3 linked regions of the Saccharomyces cerevisiae S288C genome follow. Changing the gene in region 3 together with the main gene of any one other region gives a genetic interaction. Each region holds a gene or a part of one and is shown on either strand. Other genes may lie near its edges.

Region 1 (4,652 bases), on a different chromosome or scaffold from region 3:
CTTCCTTCTTTTTGCAAGTTATGTCAGAGTTGGGATATATCGTAGAAAAGGGTGCGAAGGTGATTCAGGTAGCATAGACGGTTTCAGGCAATAAAAAGCTATAAATCTCTCTTTATATAATTGAAGGTTAAAATTTGCTAGATTTTAAAGTGGTTCGGTTCTTTTTTATGCTTTCTTAGCTTCTGGCTGTTCGTTGGAGCTCAGACTTACGGGTAGACCAATGTCATCGAAATACTGTGGAAGATCAAGCTCGGAAGGAGAGCGAGGCTAAGTTCCGAGCTACTGAAAAAAATGGAAAAAACAAGTGCCTTAATTGAATGACTAGATGGGTGCTTGTTAACGAAGGCGTGCTGCTATTCATGAAGCTGTTGCATTGTACTGTACAGTAATGTTTCGAGCCGGATCATCAAAAAGATTCTTACGAAACACACTAATAGCAATTTCATGGGTTCCGGTACTTCTAACAATCAATAATAATGTGGTCCATATTGCGCAAGTTAAAGGTACCTCTATGCAGCCTACGCTGAACCCGCAAACGGAAACGCTGGCAACAGATTGGGTGCTGCTTTGGAAGTTTGGAGTCAAGAACCCAAGTAATTTATCTAGAGATGACATTATCCTTTTCAAAGCTCCTACAAACCCTCGGAAAGTTTACTGCAAAAGGGTTAAAGGTTTACCGTTTGATACCATTGACACGAAGTTTCCATACCCTAAACCTCAAGTGAACCTGCCCAGGGGACACATATGGGTCGAAGGGGACAATTATTTTCATTCGATTGATAGCAATACTTTTGGCCCCATTTCCAGTGGGTTGGTCATAGGGAAAGCTATAACAATTGTTTGGCCACCCTCCAGGTGGGGAACGGATCTCAAACTGAGTACCGGTAGAGACTGCATTAGCAAAAGAGCCATTTTAGAATGAAAATCAGCTTATTTTTATGAATTTAGAAGTGACCCCGGTATTCAAATGCAAATTTTTTATATTATGTGATTAATCTAATGCAATAAATATAGATGATTGTGATTTATGTATTGATGTTGTTGCCGTTCGGTTCCTGAATATATACTTCTTTTTTTCATAATACTTCATGCACATGTAGTATCATTTTTTATCTTCAGTCTCTAGAGAAGGGAATAACGATCTTCTTGCGGGCCTGGGTAAATCTTCTCGGTCGGAACCAACGAAAGTAAAATCTCCGTCTTGCTCTTCATCTCCACTTACTTGCTGATGATTGCCTCTCTCATCTTCGAAACTAAAATATGATGGGGTATCCAGTCCGTCCATTAGTAGCATATGTGAAGTGCTTAGGTTACTGTTACTACTCATAGACGACTTACTTAAGATGGGGAAGAAATTTTCGTCGCCTGTACTCTCACTTGAATTTAATGATGAACCACTAGAGACTCTTCTGTGGTTTAATGACAGCTTCGGAGGCGGCTCAAACCTGAACGATAGTGCAGAAGATGCCATTGTTGTTGAAGATTGATGGCTATCTCTATAAAAGAAGTTAGGATTTGAAGGGGAAGCTAGTTTTCTAAAAGAATTATTTTTAGTAGCAAATCTTTTAGATTCTCTCCTAAACTTATCCATTTCTTGTTCACAATTCAGCAAATTTTCTTGTGAGTTCATTCCCACGTACTGACGTGGATAACATAGTTCAGGAAAATTGTCAAAAACAGCTTTGTATCCGCCATCCAATATCAATATGTCGGGATAGAATAATTTGGGATAATGATCCTGATTTATTATACGATCACAATTTCTCAAATGAGAGGCCAATGAAGGTCCCCGGTGGGAACTAAATTCGCAATGGATAATTAAAAGAGTTGGTAGAGTGTTGTTGTTGCTAGTATCGCTATGCAAAACTTTATGGATAAATTCGTACTCTAACTCATCTCTCGAGTGTATGTTAACGGAGTTTATTATGTGGCCGCCAGTATATTCGTATTCAAACCGACAATCTATAATACGACATGAATTATAAAATGACTCGCACATATTATTCTGCAGAATATTTTTCAACGTTTCTGGAGAAATTCGAGGGAAAAAGTCATTTGAGTTACGATCGTCATAATAATATGGTATCTGTGTTTTGGCTAGGCATGATTCAAAACATTTCACCCCTACCGAATTAGGAGCTAGTGGACTGGATGACGCAGACGTGAAGTTCAAAGTATTCTGAGTAATGTTAGAAAATTTCTGTGAACTTTTTCTCGATGACCTCGGAATTTTCCCATCTTGCCGTTGCACCCTCCTGCTTGAATTGCTACTGCTATTCATGCTTGGCTTTCTCGACAAGGACCTTGACCTTGAAAAAGAGCTCGACCTCTGGGGACTGCCAGGATACTTGATTCTACTTAAAAGATCATTATCCCTATTATTGGTCAAAGATCTTCTTGATGAGTTTCTTGTTGGACTTTGTAAGGTTTGAGAAGCAAAATGCATGCTTAAGACTATATCATCATTTTCATTTTCATTTTCATCTAACTCATCGCGATGGCCAAGCTGCTTTATATTCGGTGAAGGACCATCAATTTCCTTACTCCTGTGATTTGTTAACAATGGAGATTTATCAAAGGCAAGATTCTCTTTATTGATTAAATCATCGTCGACATTCGAATGTTTGCTTTTTGACTTAAAGAAGGTCTGAACATTTCTAAATATGTTCTTCTTCTTACCAAAGGGACTTTTCAAGGAAATTTTTTGGAAACTAAGAACGTCTTCATTGGCACATTCATCTTCAGTTCCATGAAATATATTGTTCATGGTTTCTTCACCCTCGCTGACTTCAATCCTGGTTTGTCCACTGCTCTGTTTATCTTTTGTCTCCTTTCAAGTTAACTCTCTTTTCTTTGTTTTCGCTTGTAACTTTAAGTTTTCTGATATACGGCATCGAAACAGGGAAAAAACAGATAAAGCATAAAAAAGAAGGAAATAACAGAGTGTAACTGTTGGGGAAATATCATAATGAGAATATTTAAACGCCGGAACAATGTATCAAAAAGGGCTTTACCGCTAATAAGTGGAGTATCTATGCTTTTTTGACGTATACAATGGACAGAAAAAGCGCCATATAAAACATTGAAGCCCCTCTTCATCCTTAGTCCTGAAAATGAGGCCTAGGAAATTAAGTATTCGGCAAAGATACATAATACAGTTCTAAAAGTAGCAAACTGGTAGATACTATTTGTGGCGCAGTTAGCTACCCCAAAATAAAAACGGTAATCTTCTCCCATTAGGGGCACCCCTCTTGCTTTTGTACGATGTGGTATCTTCGATTTTCAAACTGACAGGCATATTGCACAGCATAATGCGCACGGAATTCATTAAACTGTACGGATATATATATGATATTACGGTGCCATATGATATTATACAATATTATACTGTACTGTACTATATTATATTATATTGTATTAATTATATTATACTATACCCTATCATACCAAATATTTTGGCTATATTAATTTTTATCTACGTGTATCTAAGTTGTTACAGGCGGGGGAACTGAATTCCTTCAAAATGTGAAGGTACCGGAAAAATGGCAAAGAATCATGATAATAATAACAATAAGCCGTAAGCTTCATAAGTCATTGAACAGAATTATCTTATGAAGAAAGATCTATCGAATTAAAAAAATGGGGTCTATTAAATGTCTCCATGTTTTTTATGAGTCTTGATGTGTTGCGACAAATTATCGCTTCTACTAAATTTCTTATCGCATATGTGACAAGCAAATGGTCGTTCGTTAGAGTGAACAGATCTCACATGCCTTTTCAAATGTTCGCTGCGCTTAAAGCTCTTGGGACAAATGTGACAGTGGAACGGTTTCTCCTCGAGTTCCTTTGTTGATTCTATTACGACACTTGATCTTCTGGACGGTGTCATTGATTTTCTCCTGTAACTTGGCCTTCTTTCCTTCGTAACCCCAGCACCATTGCCAGTTGAGTTGACACTACTACTGCTTATATTATTTTGTTGATTTGTAAGCGGCACCGTACCCATCAAAGGCACAGCAGACTTCCGCCTCCGAAGGGAAGAACCGATTTTAGAGTTCATGGTATGGTGACCCTGCTGTGGGAAATGGTGATAGAAATGATTTGTTGCAAGAGACGTGGAGGATGATGATGCAGGCGATAATGGAGCCATATTCATTTGAGTGATGGAAAGATCGAAATTTGGAGTAGAATTAGCATTTTGTTCACCTTCCTCTGTCAAAAATGGCATATCATTACTCAAGCCTGTAGTCGCCACTTTCGCAATAACGGACGCATTGTCTGAAAGAATCATAGACGGTTTGATAAATTGTTGAGATGAACTCAAATTTGAATTCGGCAGCATATCGTTCTTGGGGTCTTCATCCTGCTTATTAACCAGGTCGTAGCTTAGTGAATCATCGATTATGGGTAAAGAAGCTCTTTGCCTTCTTGAATAAAGATCGCTGTTGAAGGATTTCATGTTAGTGCTACTGTTATTATGTGACGAGGTGAGCTGCTTGTGTTGAACTCGGTTTAGCTGTTGCTGTAATTGCTGACTTGGATTTATCTTTGTCATAGCATTGGCATCAAAAGAACTTGGGCAAGCAGATTTGTTCTTGCCAGAAGTGGATGTGCCCAAATTATCGTTGAAGTTCATATTATATTCGTTAAGA
Region 2 (4,550 bases), on a different chromosome or scaffold from region 3:
GTGTTAACACTAATATTGCAACTTCTGACAAGTATACTACTTCTAGAGATGAAACAGTGAAGGAAACTAAACCATTAGTTCACCCGAATAAAAATAGGACTCGTGGTCCCAGAAGAAAACTTCCAACACGCGTGTAACTACAGAGTAGACCTCCGTATTTTACACATGTATGTACGTACATATGATGTAACAATAATATGATAATTTAATGGGATACATGTATTATCGTCACTTCCCACGTTTGCGCTTTGACATTTGCTCCCCTTATGAACCTGAAGGAATATAAATCATCGATCTTTTTGCTACACTTTTCCTCCCTTATTAGAAAATAGCAGTAAAATTACAGGCTATTCAAACCCTGAAACATCTCAATTATGGCTTGGACTAGTACATTACCAGCGCATCTACTGAACCTGATCAAAAACTCCAAATATGTTCACGTGGCCACCTGTTCTAAAGACTGCATCCCTTCAGTGGCATTGATGAACTATATCTATGTGCCAGGTGAAAAACTGTTCGGTCAAACAGATAATAAGAATGACTACATTATATTTGTTTCTCCTCAGGACACACAAAAGTTTTACAACATCAAGGAGAACCCTAAGGTCGCCCTGTTGTTTCACGATTGGATCATCGCGAATAATTTGTCAGTGGGCAAGGAAAGCATCTCTGGGACTCCGACGCCGACTTCTATTCCTCATGAAGAGCAACGTCAAAGCGAGCTTTTAAATTTGTTACAGGAGTTAAATCAAGCCGAATTGAACCAAATGAGCGCATCTATTGGTGGCGAAACCGAAATTGTCAATCCTGAAAGTGAAGAATCCAAGTACTATAAAGATTTAATACTAAAGGCTAATCCTGATGCGAAAGCTTTTATATTTGAAAAGAACACCGCCGTTGTTAAAGTTAGAATTGATAATGCTAGGGTATCCAATAATGAGAACAGAACAATGTTTCTAAGTAAAGGGAAGAGTTAACTGTCCTCTGCTTTTCTTTATCTATTTTGCATACGATTCTGTATTTAATTATTCTGTTTTTTTTTTTTTTTTATTTTTTATTTTCATGTACACAAGAAATCTACATTAGCACGTTAATCAATTGACTAGTTACCTTCTTGACCAAAATCTCTAGTGAACTGTTCTTGCTTCAGCAAGTCATCCTCATTCACGGTAGGTCTCGTCGATTTGATAGCCTTTAAGAAATCCTTTATGGTGAGATCTGGTTCTTTTAATTCATCAGCTTCAATATCCGTCCAACTCATCTCGATGGCGCCATCATCACCTGGAGAGCATGGTGTTAGTTTTCTTGTTTCGTCGTCCTCCGTAGAGACATCTTTGAAATGTGTCGCGCTTTGAATTTTTCTTATCGGTTGCATTAGCGCATCTTTCACCACTACAGCAATATCACTCCCGGAATAACCTTCAGTCATTGCACCTAAAGTTCTATAATCTTCCTTGGTCAATACGCATGGAGTGTCGCCGACGTTAATCTCGAACATGGTGGTTCTTGCCGCCAAATCTGGTAATGGTATATATATTCTTCTTTCAAATCTTCTCCTGATGGCACTGTCCAGTTGCCATGGGATATTTGTTGCGCCAAGGACCAAAACACCTTGGGAGTCATTCCCAACACCATTCATTTGTACCAATAATTCTGTTTTAATTCTTCTACTTGCTTCGCTCTCTCCTTCTCCTCTGGTACCTGTTAGCGCATCCACTTCATCTATAAAAATAATAGAAGGTTTATTTTCTCTTGCCATCGCAAATAACTGTTTGACAAGTTTTTCAGATTCACCCATCCACTTAGAAACCAAATCACTGGAACTAACACTGAAAAAGGTAGAATTGGCCTCGGTGGCCACTGCTTTTGCCAAATATGATTTACCTGTACCTGGTGGTCCGTACAATAAGATTCCCGAAGTGGGCTTACGGTTACCTTTGAACAAATGTGGGAACTTGACAGGTAAAATAACGGCTTCTTTAAGGGCCTCTTTGGCTCCTTCCAGTCCAGCCACGTCTTCCCACTTAACATTGGGCTTCTCAGACAAAATAGCACTCGATAAGGCACCTCTTAGCTTTTTGTTGTCTTCTCCACCATTATCCTCACCCTCTTCCTGAGAGATTTTCTTATTACCACCGTTGGAACCACTACCAGCGCTAGGAGATTTCTTTGCCGCGTTTGCCTCTTCACTTTCCAAGTGCTTTTTCAACTGCTCTGCACGGTTTAGATACTCTGTAAACTTCGCTCTTATCAAATCCTTCGACTTAGGGTTTTTCTCGTATTTCAAAGCCAACATCAAATAATCTAATCCGTTATAGTATGCTGTATACGCCTCCTCATACTGCGTGGCTGTGTCCAGGTCAATGGCCTTTTGAACCAGTTCTATTCCCTTAGTTAAAAAATCTCCCGTGCTCATTTGTACCCCATCTACTATAGGCACTCTATGCTGCTTTATTTTTGTCTTCCATGTCCTCAACCCACGATTAAATCGTTCGATATCATGAAGTTCTTATTTTTTTTTTTTTTTCACCCAGCGGGGGTACCCGTAAAGCAATACAATAAATATCATCAAGCAAGAATAAATAGATGTACAGAAAGAACAACCATGACGTGTTGTGTTTCTATTCAGCGTGCGGAACCGAATCCTCAGTCGGAGATTCTCTGAGAATGTTCGTTTGAGGAAGCTTAGGATACTTGGCGTAGAAGTTGGGGCCCTTTGGGGGCTGTAGGGAAGAAACTGGTCGTTGGCGCGACTGGAGTGGCGACATGTGAATCGGACTTGAAGTCACTAACGGGTTTACTGCTCTTACTGGCGAAGGTGGTAAATTTTCTGTCGGTTTGAGGTTGTCTCGCTCAATATTTTTCATGTCTCGACGAGACTCCAGGTATCTTTGATCGATGTTTGCGTCGTCCAACACCGACTGCAACAGATGACACTTTTCCTTGACAAATTGTAGTTCCTTTTGTGTAGAGTGCAGCTGCTGCCGCAATTGCGCAAACTTTGCTTGCCATTGTAGAGGCACACAATCCTGAGAATTTTTAGACAATGGGACAACGCTTTCTTCTTCCTCATCTGCGGGAGACCCCCATACAAACGCTTGGATCTTGGCAAGAGTCTTAGCAATATTGAATCCAAACGCGTGTTGTTGAGCCCTCTTTTTGGAGATATTCTTGTAGTTTTTAGAACGTGTCCTTTGTGAAGCGTGTCTAACATGATTTCTTTCGCGAGGCACAACCACCAATTTGCGCTCTTTTCGTATCCCCAATGTCTTTTCCTGAATTCCCATTGTGATCTTCAATGCCAACCCAACCTTCTTTTTACTTTGTTGGGTCTAAATTATGTTACTTTGTCCATTTCATCTCTTTTCAAGATGGAATCTAAAAGAAGAAAAACGACAAAAGGAACAAAAGTGATGTGACGCGTTATTTTTCGCGTGACATAATAGAAAAATATTTCAACTGGGCATCTTTAACACATGTTACAATAAAGTTGAGATGACTTGTTTATGCCTTTAAAGTTTGTAAGTGGAACTAGAAGCGTCTATGTGTGAAATGTTTGGCTCTGGGAATGTTCTGCCTGTTAAAATTCAGCCTCCGCTGCTTAGGCCACTGGCGTATAGAGTTTTATCAAGAAAATATGGTTTATCAATTAAATCTGATGGACTGTCTGCTCTTGCAGAATTCGTTGGCACTAATATAGGTGCTAACTGGAGACAAGGGCCTGCTACAATAAAATTTCTCGAGCAATTTGCTGCAGTATGGAAACAACAAGAAAGAGGCCTTTTCATCGACCAGAGCGGGGTTAAAGAAGTTATACAGGAGATGAAAGAACGTGAGAAAGTCGAATGGAGTCATGAACACCCTATTCAACATGAGGAGAATATCTTGGGACGGACAGATGACGATGAGAACAACAGTGACGATGAAATGCCGATCGCTGCTGATTCATCCTTACAAAATGTTTCATTATCTTCACCCATGCGACAGCCCACCGAAAGAGATGAATATAAACAGCCTTTCAAGCCAGAAAGCTCCAAGGCGTTGGACTGGAGGGACTACTTCAAAGTTATCAATGCTTCTCAGCAACAAAGATTCTCATACAATCCGCACAAAATGCAATTTATTTTCGTCCCCAATAAAAAGCAGAATGGGCTAGGAGGCATTGCGGGTTTTCTACCAGATATAGAGGACAAAGTTCAAATGTTCTTGACAAGATATTACCTCACGAACGACAGAGTCATGAGAAATGAAAACTTCCAAAACAGTGACATGTTTAATCCATTATCATCTATGGTGTCTTTACAAAATGAACTGTCCAATACTAACCGACAGCAGCAATCCAGCAGTATGAGTATCACCCCAATAAAAAACCTACTAGGTAGGGATGCTCAAAACTTTCTACTATTGGGGCTCTTAAATAAGAACTTTAAGGGCAATTGGTCACTGGAAGATCCGTCTGGATCTGTCGAAATTGACATTTCCCAAACTATCCCTACACAAGGCCATTACTACGTGCCAGGTTGCATGGTTCTTGTGGAAGGAATATACTA
Region 3 (5,211 bases):
GTGTATGTAATCTACCAAGGAATTTAAGTAAAATTCACCATATACATATAAATATAAAATACAGTTACAAAGACATATACTATCTCTCTCACATGATCTAGCTCGTTTCTAGTGGTTAACAGAGATTTCCCAAACATTCTGGTAGGTTGCTAATATCAATGCTTCTTTGGAACCATTTAAGGGCGATATCCTTGACGAATTGATGATCTTGTTTGCTAAAGCAATCCAAATTTAACTTGGTTAAAAATGAAGCTGCGATAGTAATCGGTTGTTCTGAATCAATATTTTCACTTTTTTGTATGACATCCTTCAGATCGTTGTACAGATTTGATGTTCTGCGGTGAAAATAGCGAACTAAATTTTCAGCGATCTGTATTTCTGAATTGTTGGGTTCTGGGCCAGAAACGTGCCTCGGAATCTTGAAATTATTTGCAAGGTGATATGGCGCTACCAGATAGCCTGCAGTAGTTAAAAGAAAAAACCCATCAATTAAAAACTGTAGCCATGATATGGGTTCTGTCACCTCATGATGTCGACATGTCGCATTTGTAGAGGCATCCTCTTGTAACTCCCCCAGTATAAGTTTTTCATACACCTCTAAGTCAAGAGGAGTTGCTTTGTTTTGTTCACCAGATGCGGTAAGAATTTCCACTTCTTTTTCTGGTGATTCTTCTATAGTTGAGCTCGAAGTAAGTTTGACTACTATGTCGTAAATTTCAGGCTTATACAACAAAATTTCCTCGCTGGTCGTAGCCACATAACCGTTCCCCTTTTTGAACGACTCTAGAAAAGGAATATCTGATGTTGATACCGTGAAAATAGGCTTAATATATTCATCGCTTACATGGTTTCCTATCAAGTTTTTTGGAAGCATTGATATTAAGAAGACACAATAGGCCAAAGAATTGCACAATTCGAACGATTCTCCTTGAGGAACTAGTATCAATATCCTTGACTGAAGGAGACTTGCTTTCCAAAGTGGAAATATGAGAGGCCCTAACTTCCTTGTCCAGTATGGCAAATATTCAACCAAATGCCGTCTTTCTTTGGGTGAATGTTCAAAGACTTCTACTGAATTTTCAGCCATGTGCCCTTGGTTATTCTCGTCAAAAAACTTTTCAAAAATATCAAACTTATCAAGATCACGCTGCCTTATCCATTGACCGAGTAAACTTTCTAGATAGCTTGAGTATCTGTTGGCAGCATACGCATGGTATATTTCCTTATAAAAGTGCTTTTTACTATCTGATGAGGCATTTTGGACATCGATAATTACACCAAGAGAAAACATTTGAACTTTACTCCTATCAATACGATTGTCATTCTCAATAATATCGAACGAATTTTGTTTGAAATAGGCGATGCCGTAATCATAAGTTGTCGTCTTGGCAGTTTGACAGACATCTAATTCTTTAGGAACTACAAAATTGACAACATCGTCAGTTTGTTCGTGAATACCGGCTGGTAACGATTTAAATTCAATATTGCTTAAGTCAATTGCCGCACCATTAATACTTTTAGACCATATTATGATATTTCCCTTTTTCATGTCAAATTTACTTAAGAAGATGCAAGCAATTCCCGGTTTTTCACCATTTGAGTTTAAAAGTTGAGTAATATTAAATACATTTGGCTTTATAGTTGGTTCTTCACCTCCGGAATTCATAGTGCTTCGAGGAACTTACTTGATCCTTCTTGAAGTAGCTATTAAGTTGTTCGAAATGAAGTAATTATTAAAATAGAAGTAAATCATTAAATGATGCCGCTCAACAGAGGTTATGCCAAATTAGTATATAGCATGATTTTACATCACTTTAAACGTATAATTTGTGAATGATGAGGTAGCAACAAATAAACAATGCAACAGTCTCTAGTCCTATGAACTAATTTGGCCTTGAAAACCCCCCGATGATACTTCTTTAGGTGTTACAAACTTACTCGCATAGATATTATTTTTTGAACGCCAGGTTAACAATAATTACTTAGCATGAAATGTCACCTCGACAGCTTATACCGACATTAATTCCGGAATGGGCACCATTATCCCAGCAATCGTGCATAAGAGAGGATGAGTTAGATAGTCCCCCGATAACGCCTACGAGCCAGACATCTTCATTTGGTTCTTCTTTTTCTCAACAGAAACCAACCTATAGTACAATTATAGGAGAAAATATACACACGATCCTGGATGAAATTCGACCATATGTGAAAAAAATAACTGTTAGTGACCAAGATAAGAAAACTATAAACCAATATACGCTAGGAGTCTCTGCAGGAAGTGGACAATTTGGTTATGTACGAAAAGCGTACAGTTCTACTTTAGGCAAGGTTGTTGCTGTCAAGATTATACCAAAAAAACCTTGGAATGCCCAGCAATATTCAGTAAATCAAGTAATGAGGCAAATCCAGCTTTGGAAGAGTAAAGGAAAAATAACGACAAATATGAGTGGTAATGAGGCTATGAGACTTATGAATATCGAAAAATGTAGGTGGGAAATTTTTGCGGCTTCAAGACTTCGAAATAATGTTCATATTGTGCGACTAATAGAATGCTTGGACTCTCCTTTCAGCGAATCTATCTGGATAGTCACTAATTGGTGCAGCCTTGGTGAACTACAGTGGAAACGTGACGATGATGAAGATATTTTACCGCAATGGAAAAAAATTGTGATTTCAAATTGTAGTGTTTCTACATTTGCCAAAAAAATCCTGGAGGATATGACAAAAGGGTTGGAATATTTGCATTCTCAGGGTTGTATTCATCGTGATATCAAACCGTCCAATATTTTATTGGATGAAGAAGAAAAAGTAGCGAAACTTTCTGATTTTGGAAGTTGTATTTTCACTCCCCAATCATTACCTTTCAGCGATGCTAATTTTGAAGATTGTTTTCAGAGGGAATTGAACAAAATTGTTGGTACTCCGGCATTTATTGCACCAGAGCTATGTCATTTGGGCAATTCCAAAAGAGATTTTGTGACGGATGGCTTTAAGTTGGATATTTGGTCATTGGGAGTGACACTATACTGCTTACTGTACAACGAGCTGCCATTTTTCGGGGAAAATGAATTCGAAACCTACCACAAAATCATCGAAGTATCATTGAGTTCCAAAATAAATGGTAATACTTTAAACGATTTAGTCATTAAAAGGTTATTGGAGAAAGACGTTACTTTACGCATAAGTATTCAGGATTTAGTAAAGGTTTTGTCGCGTGACCAGCCCATAGATTCTAGGAATCACAGTCAAATTTCATCGTCCAGTGTGAACCCCGTAAGAAACGAAGGTCCTGTAAGAAGATTTTTTGGTAGGCTACTGACTAAAAAAGGAAAGAAAAAGACCTCAGGAAAAGGGAAAGACAAGGTATTGGTATCTGCAACTAGTAAAGTAACACCTTCGATACATATCGACGAGGAACCGGATAAAGAATGTTTTTCGACTACGGTCCTTAGATCTTCGCCAGACTCGAGCGATTATTGTTCATCGTTAGGGGAGGAAGCCATTCAGGTTACGGATTTCTTAGATACTTTTTGTAGGTCAAATGAAAGCTTACCTAATTTGACTGTGAATAATGATAAGCAGAATTCGGACATGAAAACTGACAGAAGCGAGTCATCCTCTCATTCGTCATTGAAAATCCCAACACCTATCAAAGCCATGATAAGACTAAAGAGTTCCCCTAAAGAGAACGGGAACAGAACCCATATTAATTGCTCACAGGACAAACCGAGTTCCCCACTAATGGATAGGACTGTTGGAAAGCGCACGGTTAACAATTCAGGGGCTAGAAAGCTTGCTCATTCAAGTAATATTCTCAACTTTAAAGCATACATAAATTCGGAAGATAGTGACATTCGAGAAACAGTAGAAGATGTAAAAACGTATCTGAACTTTGCAGATAATGGTCAAATATAGATGAAACTACAGGATGATATCTGTCGGATTGGGTTAGCTGATAATCGTATAGCCGATGTGAAATATGATTATTAATTGATTTACTTGGTTATGGTAAATACATAAATATATATATAGAAACGGCAAATTACCCACATTTGCATTTGTATTAATAACACTAAAGATAATATTCATAATATACCATCATTGATAATTGAAATCGACATCAACATTTATCAATTGAGAGTTTAGTGGTCTTCTATTGCGAGAATATCGAACGATATGATTTATCTTGATCCCACTGTGTCGCGAAATCGCGGAAGTAAATTGAAAACAAAAGAAAAACAAAACTTCATCGATAAATATTGAGAAAACATCTCTTAAAAACAGTAGTAGATAATCTTGAGAATTTACTTTATAAAAAACAGAAGAAGGACTGAATATAGAAAGAATACTAATATAACATAATCATGTCAAGTAAACAACAATGGGTTAGTTCTGCTATTCAAAGTGATTCGAGTGGAAGATCACTCAGTAACGTCAACAGGCTTGCAGGAGACCAACAATCTATTAACGATCGTGCGTTATCGTTATTGCAGAGAACAAGAGCGACAAAGAACCTGTTTCCAAGAAGAGAGGAAAGAAGACGTTATGAAAGCTCAAAAAGTGACCTAGATATCGAAACAGACTACGAAGACCAAGCAGGTAATCTAGAAATCGAGACAGAAAATGAAGAAGAAGCTGAAATGGAAACTGAAGTACCTGCACCAGTGCGAACTCATTCATATGCCTTAGACAGATATGTTAGACAGAAAAGGAGGGAAAAACAAAGAAAGCAGAGCTTAAAGCGCGTCGAAAAGAAATATACTCCTAGTGAATTAGCTCTGTACGAAATTCGAAAATACCAACGTTCCACGGATTTATTAATCTCCAAAATTCCATTTGCAAGGCTAGTGAAAGAAGTTACAGACGAGTTTACAACTAAAGATCAGGATTTACGTTGGCAGTCAATGGCGATTATGGCGTTACAGGAAGCAAGCGAAGCGTATCTGGTAGGATTATTGGAACATACAAACCTCTTGGCGCTGCATGCAAAAAGAATTACTATAATGAAGAAAGACATGCAACTAGCAAGAAGAATCAGGGGACAGTTTATTTAGTGATATTTGTGCTTCAGGGCTGGAGCCGATTTTTCCCTTTTTCGGGGTTTATATTGACTTAAGGTACTTTAAATGTTTTAAATAAGGTTATTATAAGGTCATATTAGCATACCTTTCGGTTCGACAAGTGCTCTCCGCTGTTGACAGTTTTTTTTTC

Evidence for each region.
Region 1: mutations in ELM1 (region 3) and MIH1 together harm fitness more than expected from each alone (negative genetic interaction), as found in Saccharomyces cerevisiae (6 studies listed by BioGRID, with this or other methods).
Region 2: mutations in ELM1 (region 3) and VPS4 together harm fitness more than expected from each alone (negative genetic interaction), as found in Saccharomyces cerevisiae (5 studies listed by BioGRID, with this or other methods).

What each region holds. Positions count from the first base shown.
Region 1 is NC_001145.3:340,754-345,405, forward strand, and holds MIH1 (putative tyrosine protein phosphatase MIH1), read right to left. Parts: upstream 2,768-4,652; coding exon 1,103-2,767; downstream 1-1,102. Other genes in the region: IMP2 (endopeptidase catalytic subunit), read left to right, coding at 389-922; stress-responsive transcriptional activator MSN2, read right to left, coding at 3,650-4,652.
Region 2 is NC_001148.4:885,422-889,971, forward strand, and holds VPS4 (AAA family ATPase VPS4), read right to left. Parts: upstream 2,417-4,550; coding exon 1,103-2,416; downstream 1-1,102. Other genes in the region: BSP1 (Bsp1p), read left to right, coding at 1-137; YPR172W (pyridoxal 5'-phosphate synthase), read left to right, coding at 375-977; CSA1 (Csa1p), read right to left, coding at 2,622-3,287; DPB2 (DNA polymerase epsilon noncatalytic subunit), read left to right, coding at 3,553-4,550. UniProt on the Saccharomyces cerevisiae protein: Involved in the transport of biosynthetic membrane proteins from the prevacuolar/endosomal compartment to the vacuole. Required for multivesicular body (MVB) protein sorting.
Region 3 is NC_001143.9:345,918-351,128, reverse strand, and holds ELM1 (serine/threonine protein kinase ELM1), read left to right. Parts: upstream 1-1,992; coding exon 1,993-3,915; downstream 3,916-5,211. Other genes in the region: ANR2 (Anr2p), read right to left, coding at 116-1,666; centromeric DNA-binding histone H3-like protein CSE4, read left to right, coding at 4,365-5,054. UniProt on the Saccharomyces cerevisiae protein: Important role in G1 events required for bud emergence and septin organization. Coordinates cell growth and cell division at G2/M, essential for efficient cytokinesis and for regulation of SWE1.